Kluyveromyces lactis: one gene and its partner. The protein of the gene in region 1 interacts with the protein of each later gene in a biochemical or structural test. Links are inferred from orthologs where the notes say so. Each region holds a gene or a part of one and is shown on either strand. Other genes may lie near its edges.

Evidence for each region.
Region 2: the proteins of AKL1 (region 1) and SEC2 form a complex in vitro, tested with the Saccharomyces cerevisiae proteins (2 studies listed by BioGRID, with this or other methods). The link is inferred for Kluyveromyces lactis from reciprocal best matches to the Saccharomyces cerevisiae genes AKL1 and SEC2.

What each region holds. Positions count from the first base shown.
Region 1 is NC_006042.1:1,708,316-1,714,756, reverse strand, and holds AKL1 (serine/threonine protein kinase AKL1), read right to left. Parts: upstream 3,627-6,441; coding exon 1,182-3,626; downstream 1-1,181. Other genes in the region: KLLA0_F18656g (sphingolipid delta(4)-desaturase family protein), read left to right, coding at 1-169; TSC3 (Tsc3p), read right to left, coding at 556-810; ORC2 (origin recognition complex subunit 2), read right to left, coding at 3,933-5,723; DNA-directed RNA polymerase III core subunit RPC11, read left to right, coding at 6,100-6,438. UniProt on the Saccharomyces cerevisiae protein: Phosphorylates SCD5.
Region 2 is NC_006039.1:192,597-199,038, forward strand, and holds SEC2 (guanine nucleotide exchange factor SEC2), read right to left. Parts: upstream 3,648-6,442; coding exon 1,671-3,647; downstream 1-1,670. Other genes in the region: AVT2 (Avt2p), read right to left, coding at 11-1,408; formin BNI1, read right to left, coding at 3,937-6,442. UniProt on the Saccharomyces cerevisiae protein: Guanine nucleotide exchange factor for SEC4, catalyzing the dissociation of GDP from SEC4 and also potently promoting binding of GTP. Activation of SEC4 by SEC2 is needed for the directed transport of vesicles to sites of exocytosis.

The DNA of each region.
Region 1 (6,441 bases):
TTGGTCCCGACTTTGGGAATTGAACAGTTTATGTCCGGAATTTTATAATCATCTGCCAAAGCACTCCTCCTGGTGTAAAGTCTTGTACGATTTTATTACCCACGATGATGTCGTATTATACAATAGAGTGAAAAGAGTTAATAAAGAGTTCGAACAAAGCAAGGCTTAACTCATGCTTCCTGGGTGATTCTCGTAGACATATTATAAAAACATCAAAAACAAACACAAGAGAACCGGGAAAACGGCTCCTGATATGAAGTCATGATCACCTGCGAAATAACCGTGATACATTTCTAAATATTTATCCGTTTTTATAGATTATATAGCCCATACTTTCTAAACAAATTTACTCTTGTCGAACCTTCAGGACTTGTCTAAAAGGGAGTGTGATAAGAAATGGTTTGCTTCAATTTAATGACAATTTTTTTGTCATGGATATGTGTTGATTGGATTAGAGATCGGAGTTTTCGTTGATAACGAATGCGCTAAAAAAGGTCTTGCTCCCTCTTTCTCTGTATGCTAATGTTTCGATTGAGAAACTTTGAATTTCGAGTTTCATAGGAAAATGTACTTCAATAAACCAAATAAGCTCAGGCTGACTACAACCAGAAATATAGTGTGTAAACAAAATGCATCAAGTGAAGTCATTAAATAAAAGGGAAGATGGATATAATAAACCCAGTATAGATTCTTCACGAAATCAGCCAACTTTTCTCCTATGCCACCACGCGACATCTGCTGATTAGTCGGTGTGTAAATCATAGTCCCTCGAGACTTCTTGTATGGTTCATAAATCTTTTCTGCAGCCATTGTCTACCTTTTTCTTATCTTCAGCGTATTCCCTTCTATAAGTCAAAATTGACTCCAGTGTAGTTTAGTTCAATGTTACAATCGCCTTCTTACAGGATATCGTTTACTGATCAACCAAAATTTACCTGTATTGCTTCTGTTCTTATATTCTTCAATGTAAATATTGGTTTTTCATCAACCTTAAGAAATGTAAAGTTTAAAAAAGGTCGAGAGACGTGCCGAATGACAATAAGAATCAAAGTGTGTACATACCGTTTATACAATAATTGACTTGAATTAAAAGAATAAGGACATCGGTGCTTCAATCAGTTCAGGTTGTTTTTTTTGGTATGCTATCGGATGAACTAATTTCTTTTACCCTTGGTTACCTATCATTTGAATACACCAAAGAACGATCTTCTTTTCGTCTCCTTGGTTTCGTCTCTTGCATTAGAATTAGATGTAGAGTTGGAGTCATGTTTCATGCGTTCCATTTCTACAGATCTTCTGACACTGGTGCGGGAAAATGATGTCTTATTTTTTCGATGCTTACGTTGATCATCATTCGAAAGATTGATTTCTTGATATTTTAGGTCTAATGACCGACGCTTAGGAACTTTGGCGGGTTTCAGAAATTCTTTACTCTCAGACCCTGGAGATGTTGTTTGACGAGGTTGGGTTACAGGCTCCTTCAATTTCGGCTGCTTCAAATCGAGTGAAATGCTTTCATCTGATATAATGCTTTCTTCTAGTTCTGTATCTGACTGCCTAGTCAATGAATTCTTTGAAAGATCAAGTTGATCAAAAGTAAGGTCTAATCGTGGTTGAGCAGGAATTTGCTGCTGGCGCTCAGGCCTCAGTGAAGCTCGTGTATTCGGTTGAGCTTGAGCTTGGGGTTGGGGTTGGGGTTGGGGTTGGGGTGGAGGAAGAGGCTGAGGTTTAGATTGAGATTGAGATTGAGATAAAGGTTGCGATGAAATGATTTGATCTTGCATATTGGCTGTAATTGCGGCTGGTGTAGAATAGGGTACGTTATTTCTGGGTGGGGAAATGTCAATCAGGTATTCGTCATTCACGACGTTGCCATTATTTGGAACATCAGAAATAGGCATTGTAGTATCAAAAGTACGGGCTTGATCACTTTGTTGGATACTCAAGTTATTTAGGTTGTTTTCCTTCATCGGAGATTGTTGAAAATATGATACATTCTTTTCATTTTTTGGATGTGCAGGAGGAGTGCCTTTGAAGTATTGTTCGTTGTTCGCATCAAAGTACTCAGATGCATCCACTTCAGGCTGGAATTGTGATTGAAAAGGATTATGTTGTTTATGCTGTCTAGCAGCCGACATATTCGCAGTATTCTGTGGCTGTTGTGACGAAGGAAGTGGAGAGGGCGCCCTTATACCATGTGAACTGTGCCTTTCATTTGAATCCAATGATACTTGTGATTTGTTTGAAAGATCCGATATACTTCTGGAGCTCGATTGCTTGAGGGAGGTGGACAGTACTTGCAGATGATGATCATCTCTCTCCTTGGCGTTAGCAGATTCTAACTTTTCCACAGTTGGATAACATTCGTCCATTTTAGCAATATCAGTTTCCAGATCTTCTGGTGCTTCTTGTTGGTCGACAGATCCAATACCTTTATCAATTGGTTGTTTTGGAGCTATCTCGAAATTTTGAATGAATAAATCGTTCAACTTATCGACATCTCCGCTAGTTACCTTCTCATTTTTATATAGCTCAAACATTTGGTATTGTATTTGTTGCAATTTCAAGTGGTATTGAGAGTATTTAGCAAAATCGTAAGGACCCAATTCGTATTTATCAGTGAAAGGAACATCGCACTTCAGGATAGAACATACATGATGCATGACTTGATAAATATTCGGTCTTAGTGAAGGATTCTCCGCCAACATAATAATGATTAAGTTTATCAATTTGGATGAGTATCCATTCTGAGGAATTTCATACTTTGAATGTAAGATGGCAAACTGTCCAGTTAGCTCAAATGGAGTGGTATAAAATAGAAGTTTGTAGAGGAAGATCCCAAGAGCCCAGATATCAGATTTCTCATTGATAGGGAGACAGCGGTATAAGTCAATCATCTCAGGCGATCTGTACTGTGGTGTAGTATGCACATAAATGTTATTCGTAAGTACAGCAATATCTTGATGCGTTGATACGATTGGAAAACACATTGAAGTTGAGCCGAAATCGCAGAGTTTGAAATTATCATCCTTATCAACAAGCACGTTTTCTATTTTGATATCACGATGGATCAACGGCGTAGGTAAATAGTGCATCTGAGCAATTGCGTTCGATACATCATACATGATCTTCAATATTTCAGCTTCAGTTAACTTCGTTGCCAATTTGTTATTCATATAATCCAGCAATGACTTCTTAGGACAGAGCTCCATCAACAATAAAATTTCGAACCCTGGAGATCCATCTGGATGTCTTGATGCATTAGAGTCATAGTACTGTACGATATTTGGAGAACCCCTCAATTGCTTCATGGTCTCTACTTCGTTCCTTAGCTCATTTAAACCATTTTCATCGGGCACAATGACTCTCTTTAAACAGGCTATGTCCCCTGCCTTAAGCAGTTTGGAATCGATACCAGCATCCATCTCGTTAGTCAATTCCAAGAATTTTACCTTGTATATATTTGCGAACCCACCCTCAGCTAAATGCTCCAAAATTTCACACCTATGAGTGCCAACAACAACCTGAGTGTTGGGACTCAACAGATGCGAATTCGGAATCATAGCAGAGGTCGCCGCAGTATGTGCCACCGAATTCGGTCTGGATATAGTGTCTGATTTGCTCATCACAATATTTAGCGGACTGCTGAATTAAATACCACTACCAACAGTGCTTCCAACACTTGCTGTTAGTGTATACGATACTCTTCTTTATCGAATTCTCCCTTTTCTTCTTAACCATATAACCTTAAGTTCATTAAAATAGTAATCTTTATCGAAAACTTATTTTTCAGTGATTTTCGGAAGCAGAACTGATTCAGCATAGGAAATGTAAAAGAAATGAACCCTGGTGGACGGTATGGTAAAGCCAAATGAGATCAGAACGCTAGAGTATAAATATAAATATGTATGGTGAATTTAAATAAGGATTATTTATTGCAGCATGGAATCTATCTCAGTTATCATTTTTTCCATGTCTCCATAGCTATATTTAACATTTATGATCTCTTTACCCATTTTATTTTTCGTATTGACAGCCATCTTATGATCAATGAACTCTGATAGGATGGTTCGAAGACCCATTTCGCTCGAGACTACGAACTGTTCGGTGCATGTTTTAAAAAGTTCAGAGAACTCAATCCCAGGTGTGATTTTGTTTAAGGAACTAGATTTTGCACGAGGCTTTGACTCGTTCTTGGCATTAATCTGTCCCATTAGAAGTTGAAGAAGAATTTTGTACATTCTTTTAGAATTGTCCGTCAGGGATTCTAGTACGTATTTAGCACCGTTCGCATTAAACAAGGTACCTGAATCTTTGGAAAAGTCGATAGCATTATCGGTTTGTACTGTTTCTACGATGTACGGCTCAAAATTTGTGATATCGTGGTAAACAAAGTTGAATGATTGAGCTCTGAAATGATCCCAAAGGAAAGGAGCTTGTATATGGTCGACACTTGCTACGACACAGATTTGTTTGATTTGTGCAAGAATACTCATTCTGGTTTGAAAATGTTCTCTCCGGAATGACGGACCGTCCAAGTTATGTATCAAAAGAATCATCTTCACCGTAGGAGGTCTTTTCTTGAAATATTTTGAAAGCCTGTCCATTTGCAAGTCAATTCGATTATCCCAATAATTTGATTGACCTTGATCATCAATAGTCTCGCCCTCTACTAAGATTTTGAATATATCCAAAAAGATGTTCTTAGAGAGAGTGGTGTACCCGTTCATTACAAAAACCGGTATACATGGATCATCTTTTTGAATATCCGGGTTTTGCAACAAGGCGATCTTCATAGAAAGAAAGTTGAATGCAAATGATTCGAGGAATTTCTTCTTCGATCCGATACCATAGAATAATAACGTAAATCCCTGCAGTAACTCGAAAGTAAACTGCTGAAAGAGTGTTTCATGTATTTTTTGTACTGCCTTTGTCGATGAACGATGGAATATATCATTGGAAAGTTGAGAAAGAATGTTATATTCATCTCTGGAAATACTTGGTGCCGAGGACATCGAGTTCTTGGATCTTTTATCAGTTTTTAGGATCTTGGTCTGATCTATGAAACCTTCGAAACCATCGAAAAAATATATTTGAGATTGTTCATCAGATGTTTGGTCATTATTATCGCTCTTTGGCAACTTAGTCGGTTTGAAATTAGGGTTCAAGTTCAATTTCAGATGCTTATACTGCTGGATATCGTCGTATGCAAGATCATCGTCTATAATTTTATTCCTTTGAACTGTATTTCTGGTAGTCTTTCTTTGGGGTGATGGTTCTGCATTAAATGTAAGTTTTCTCCTAGGCGACTTATTAGGTGAGCTTTCATTAGAATCTATTTTAATTTTTAGATCCTCGTATTCGTCGTCATTGTGTATCAATTCATTAGTATCTGACACATAGTCAATGGCATCATCTTCCTCCAACTTCACCCTCTTGGTTGTTTTCCTTTGCCTTCGCCTGGGAGTTGCAGTATCTGTCGATGAGTGCTTCCTACTCTCTTCATCTTTATATTCAGTCTCAATGCTAACAGACTCTAATGTGAGCGATCGTTTGGGTGACTTAGGTCGTACCGTTTTGGAAGGCGAAAGAAAATCAAAACTTTTAAGTTTCTTCGGTGACTGATATCTTACTTTGGAAGGTGATATGAAAATGTCTTGGTGATTTACAATATCAATGTCTTCTTCTTCTTCCTCATTATCACTGCACTCTTTCTTCGTCATGTTTTCAAGGTTTAACCGCTCCAAGATAATCAAATACTCTAAAGTCTAGAGAATGGAAACTAACTTATAAATGTGGGAGTTGTTCTTCTATCAAACCTCGCCCACAGGTATTAACCCTATACACTATATTTGACATACAAACCTTAAATGTCAACATAAATATCGATTCAAAGTTAAAGGCATGAAGCTCTACTTTTTTTTTTCTGAAAAATTTCTATATGAGATGAGGAAAGAATTAAAACCTACTCTCAATAATTATAGCGATGAGGTTCATTTTAGAGTGTATGCGATAACGTGTTGAAGGAGCTTATGGGCAGGTAACGGTGCGTTAACGTATCGTGTTTGAGGAGTCTGACATTGAGAATTAAGTTGTAGGATGCTTTCGTTTTGCCCATTATGCAATAACATGTTGTTGGTATCAAAAGCTGATTCAGGTCTGTATAAACTAGCATGCGGATCATGCCCATACCAGTTTTTAATTGATGGGATAGAGGTATACGATAGAAAGAACCTCCCTAGGAAAGAAGTTGATGATGTCTTAGGTGGAGAAGGTGCATGGGATAATGTTGACCAGACAGCAGCACAATGTCCGAACCATGACCAATGTGCGGGTGAAAGAGCTTACTTCTTCCAGTTGCAAATCAGATCTGCAGATGAACCTATGACAACTTTCTACAAATGTGTTAACTGTGGTCATAAATGGAGAGAGAACTAGAGA
Region 2 (6,442 bases), on another chromosome or scaffold:
GCTATAGATTTTACGCAAACGCTTCTAATATAGTTTGAGCGGTGCTCACGAACATGAGTATAACACCAAATACAATACAACCGCAATAAGGTAACTTTTCTTTCAAGGATTTTTTTTTTCCTGTTATAACCAAATTAGTGAGTGGAGGAAGTATATATGCCATGAGAGAAGCGCTTGTTGCTCCAATGATTTCTAGAAGTGCACCAAGATTAGAAGTTGATAAAGCGATACACATTATAATCAAAACTAAACCAGACGTTATGAGGGCATGCATTTTTGTCGTTAACTTTACTGGTTCAGGGTCGTCTTTGTTGTAATATATTATGTCCCTTATCACATCTCTCAAAACGAAGATTTCCAAAGGAAACGTAGTAAGCATGTTAAATCCCAAAAGAAGTCTGGCAAAATTAATCACATTATCATCAGAAGGGAAATTATTAAGAATATTACCCACTGTTTTGTCTTTAAAGTTAAGGAACCCAGAGTAAGCAGTTGTTAAGCAAACGATGCAAGAAAGAATTAAACTGACATGTGTCAACTGATTAAATCTTTTTAAAGAGGGATTTCTCAACGAGAAAAATATAAAACTCGTGTTGTGATGGCATACTAACGCAAATGAAATCACAGAAATGCCTTGAAATATCCTTGGTGTAATAAACAACTGATGTAAATGGAAAGTTCCTTTATATTCGCCGCTTACTAGTGGAGCTTTAACAACTATGATAATAACAATTGCAATAAGTCCTAAAAGTGCAAGCATTGATGTCTTTGAAAGCTTGGAGATATCCCTGTTAAGAGATAGCGGAAACGATATGAACAAAGTCACCAATGTGATAATGACATTCCGATGAAAAAGATCTGTATGAGAAGGGAAAAAGGCGCTCAAAACATGAGGTATTGAATCTCCAATGATAATGCAAAACCCAACGCAACCACCAAATGCAAATAGGCCGTTGGATACTAAAATCAAAAGTCCTCCCCATTGACCCATTGCTGTTTCTACAGATGCTTGATAAGTACTCTTACCGGTTAATTTCAAATTGATCACAATCAGACGAATGGTCCAATCAACCAGTATGGACATTAATATGGTCGCAAATAATCCGCCGATGATTCCGCAATTTTTCATCGCAAAAGGTTGCCCTATCACTCCTGATCCTAAAATACTATTCGCCATGTTCATGAAAGCCATGTACCTGTTAGATTTTGCCTCATTAGATAAATAGATGTCATCTGTTAATGGGTCTTCTTCATTAACATTAAAAATGTTTTGGTCAACTGCGCTGTCAGCTGTCTTCGCGGTGTCATCAAATGACGTTAACTCCAGTTCAAACGGATTTGGTTCATTCTTCGATTGTTTATCAGACAGAGCTAGTTTTGCATACTTTTTATCAGCGGCTATCTGCATCTGTATTAATTATAATTCACAAAGTAGGCCATAAGCGGTTCAACTATCGTGCGCTCCGTTTGCTACTACAACCTTCTTACAGCCATATTGTTTTATCTAAGGCAAGAAGAAATACTTGCAATATATAAATTTGGTGCTTAGTCTTTTGGGTATGATAAGGATGACGAAATTTGACAAATCACGTGCATTGAAATGAAACTCTCTACATCAGGTATTTATTGTTACAAAGTATGCAAGGTAGGAGGAAAGATTGTGCATGACACTAGTTGACGACATCCTTTGCATCGTTAAAACTATCCTCTTCATCAGAATTATCCAAATTTTCAGGCTTTTCAGATTCGGGTTCAAGATCAGCGGACAGATCTTGATAAGTTTCCAATAAATCACTTGGCTCTTCAGATGATGCATGGGTATCATGAGCTGATTCGGCACTTTCTTTGTTATCATTTAATACTGTGGATGATTGTGAGGGCTGTCTTGAATGCTGTGGTTCAATTTTTTTGCTTTTTTTCTCTTCATTCTTTCCTTGTAAATCCGTGGCAGTCTTCTCATTAGTTTTCTCATTATGATCGCCAATATCATCCGATGATTGATCTGTGTGACGTATACCATTGACTGTTTCATCCACACTGATAGAGTTTGCGGTATCCGCTTCAAAATCGAAAGTTTCATCCTCCTCATGTGTTATAGGGACAGGGATATTGTTTGAGGCAATGCCTAGACCTTGTTCTTCTTCAAAACTTTTAGCTTTGGAAATATCTGTTGATGGGGCAATATCTGTAGCTACCGATTCGTCGAGAGACCATACGCCAATATGCGACCATTGTAAAGATGCTCGTAGTTGTGAAAGACGGGCCCATGACCTCTGGATATTGGTTGTTGGTAGTCCGTTTTTGTCGGCAAATTGTGGACCATTTTCTATGATAGGAGTTGAAGATTGCGATTGCTTTAATCCTTGGAAAATACTTAATCTTTTGGATTTCATTTTCGGCCTTGATGCTTTAGTTACCTCGGAGTAAGCATTGACCTTGCCTTGATGTATTGATGCCAAAGCTACTTTTTCTAGATGCCAAGCACCAGATCTCAATGATCTCAAAAATGCGAAAATTTCACAAACTTGTCTTAATTTCAACAAGCAGTAATGGCACACGGGAAATTGATTTGTTAACTCATTTTTACCATTTTCGAGCTTTTGATATGTTTTGAAGATATAAAGTCTTCCATGTTCAAGGATGTCGTTTCTATTTTCACCACAGAAAGCACATGGTTCTACCATAGCAACAGGCGGAGAATTCACCGGACGGCTAAACAAATGAGAATCTTTGTTTTCGACCTCTGGAGAGTCGGGAATACTTGGAGAACTATATCCTGTACGATATGTTTCATTTATTCCACTAATCGGCTCGATTGATACCAGTCCTTCCATCATTAAATTCATTAAATTTCTTTTTACAAGCCATCCTACTCCGGAGGCATTATCAAGTCGCAAGACGGGACTTATTTCATAGTTTATTAATCTCCTTAATAGTTTCGATTCCGAAGTGGTTTGTTGAAGGTTTTCGCATTGTGGTAGCACAGCAAGAAATTTCAAATATTCTGTGTATAGAGGAACGTCATACCTTAACGAATGCAGAAGAGGGGAAAATAACACGCCTTGAAACGACAATGAATTATCATTTACTGAGGTTAGGTTGGTGGTTGATCTATCAATTGATGTGGTAGAGGACGTCGCAGAATCTGAAAGTGAAACGTTCTTCGAAGAATTGAAATCATTTTCGAACTTGTAGAGTACGTTTTTGAGATTCTTTAACTGCATTGACAATGTATCAAGTAATAAATCCTTTTCTTTCAACTGCTCTTTGAGCTTCGAGTTTAATATTTCTACAGCATTTTGTTCTTTCCTTGCATCTGCTACCATGTTATTAGCCTCATCGAATAAAGAAGCGGTTAAGTCTTCAATTTCTTGGTTCAATGTAGCCACTTTCTTTTCGGCATCAGCACAAATTTCTTCCTGTTTCTTGAATTTTGTCTTATCGGTTTCGTATTGTAATTTCAAAGATTGTAGTTCCTGCTTCAATTCATTATATGAGTTCGCAATATTCTGCTGAGTGGAAATGGTTTTCTTAGCCACTAGTAACTGTTCTTCTAATTGGGATTGTTTATCAATGCTTTCGATTAATTGCGTAGATAAAGATGTCACTTGCAAAGATATGCGCTTTGACTCTTCTTGATCCGCCATTCTAAAAATAAGGCTACCGTCAGCTTTGCTTGTAGCAAGTACTTTCTGTTAGCAAAATCAGTGATTCATTTATTGAAGTAAATTACACAGGCGAGTATTTATGTATTTCATTAGTCCTCTGGTAATTTGGTTGATATATATTACATTCTTGATTTCATCAAACATTGGAACTAAATTCATTACCCGGTTTTAAAATGAAAATGTCAATTTCGGTATACGAATTATGTCTATGCAAGTATACACATATTGTAGTTATTAAATAAATGCTGAAATGAGTATTATGTAGTCTTTAAGCATCAATAAACTCATCTTCCGATGAGTTCGATGTGTCCATCAAATCTTGGGTTGGCGATAACGGTTTAGGATGAGGTCCAACTTCTAGGCTTCCAACAAATTGTAGTTTATTAGGTTGGTCTACTTTCACAGAAGAATCTTTTTTTTTCAGATCCCTAAGCTTGTCCTTTGCTTTGATTGGGGATGGAGAAGCGTCTTTTCTTTCGTCAGGGCCTCTTAATTCTAGTAATAAATTCCTTGCTCTATCTGCAGGGTCTTGTTTTGATGACGACAAGCTTTCAGTTTCAGGAAGGCTGGCCGATTTTTTAGCAGTAGGCGATTCGGTAAGCGTTCTATTTTGTTCCACGAAAGCTTCGATAGTACTATCAGCAGTGATGTTATCAAAAATTGATGCCCCGGATTTACCATCTAGTAATTTCTTTCTAGCCAATGCACGTTTACGAGTACTAGATGGATCTCCTTTTGAAGGAGCTGCATTTTTCAATTTATCCAAAAGCTTCTCTATATCGTCCCTATCATCAGACGGTTCTTGCGAAGTGCTTAAATTTTTTGCTGTTGCCTTACTATCTGCCTCCTGTTGTTTCCGTTGTTGATCTTCAATCATTTTCTTTCTCCTTTCGTAAGCACGTTCTTCTTCTTCCAGTTTGACATTATGAGTTTTAGCTTTCTTGAATTCGGTAATGAAATCTGCAAACTTTTGGAAGAAAGAGTTTTTAGAGAACTTGTCGTTGGCATCTTCGCCAAATTTCTTCATTAGATTTTCAAATTCCAGCAAACTTAATTTGATTTCATCGCTTAGAAGATCAGCTTTCTTTCTAGCTTCAGGTAAAACCGGTACTACCTTATTTAAAACACGATCTAACGGATGGAATTTAGAAGGGTCACTTAGGTTTCCAATTTCAATAGAACGCTCAACGTTAATTACTGACTGTGAAAATTCCTTACAATCAGTTACCAACTGTTCGATGGATATTTTTGTTACGCTAAAAATAGGCTCAAGCTCTTCCACGAAATGGCTGTATTCGGGATAATTTTCACGAATTATCTTTTCCACATAGTTCAAAAAAGTCATACTGTTCTTTTCATCTTTAATGAAGGTCAATCTTTGTAGGGTGCTTAGCTTGAACCCCTGAGCTTGCTTTGAAGAATCATTCATATAATTACCAACTGCCAAAATAACATCGAAAACATGTCTGAGACTTTCAGATTGTTCGATGCACTGAACTGCTCTATCAATTTTTCTTAGTTTAGTGACCAAATCCGAATAGTCTTTTTCATAAGTAGTTATCATAGTGATTGCTCTCATACGAGACCCCCAGTACGGTTGTAAGTTAATCATAAATTCAACATATAGTTGATCTGCACGTTGAAGTTCATTAGGATCTTTTTCGGGGGGTTTTGCATCGTCAACAGATGTCACTCCCTCCCAATCAGTACTGTAAGGATTGAAATATCGTGCCAAATTATTCGTTACTTCAATTATGGTAGGCTTTGACAAAAACTCTATTACGCTAGGAGTAGATAGGAATTCTCTATCACATTTCATTACCTTCCCAACAACATCTTTAACATCGAGGTTGGAGAACATATGTAGGTTAATACCAAATTGTTGGGAAACATCTCTCGATAAAAAGGTAATCTTTTCATTTGCTTCCTTAGACTTTCCTTTTAATGATTTGGTTTCTCTGGCAGCAAACGCTTTTTCTAATTGACTTAATACACCTCTTTCGAATAGATCGTCAGCAACCTTTTCTGCTTGAGCATTTTTCCAAATAGAATCCCCAGCATTGTCAATTTTTTCCCAGTGTAATTGTTTGAGCTTCTTCTTGGGACGAGGATACCTTTCAAAGAGAGATGGTGATTGCGGTAGTAAGGGACTTGTGACTGTCGCTTTGGGTGTGTTTGCCGATGGAAATGGTGGAGGTGGGGGAGGGGGAGGAGGAGGGGGAGGAGCAATACCAGGGGATAATGCAGTAGGGAGAGGAGATGGTACTGCAGTAAGAGTTCCACCTAATGATACCGGTAAGGGAGGTGGTGGCGGCGGTGGTGGTGGTGGCGGTGGCGAAGCAGCGGATACGATTGTTGTTGTTGGATTCGCTTCAATAGATTCGGAATCCCCGATTTCAGACTGCATTGTCGTTGGCGAATATTTATCATTCAAGATCACATTCGAGATCTTGTCGCTTCCCTGTTGAGCATCTGTCAAAATGGGTTTTTCTGTAAATTGACTGACTGGTTTTTCAGTACTCTTTAACGATGCACCAGGAGATACAGATATGCCAATACCCACAGGGACATCATCGATGTCATCTGTCATTTTAACTTTTGATTTTAGCTCAGTCAAAAACGGTGGCAGATGTTCGCTCGTCGCTGTTGGGTTCACTGTAGTATTCTTTAACCTATTCAAAAACGATTTTCTATGATAACCGCTTCCAGGATACCTAGTCTCGCGTCCCACACGACCACCATTCGTAGACGTGGCGGTCTGTTGTCCAGTTGAA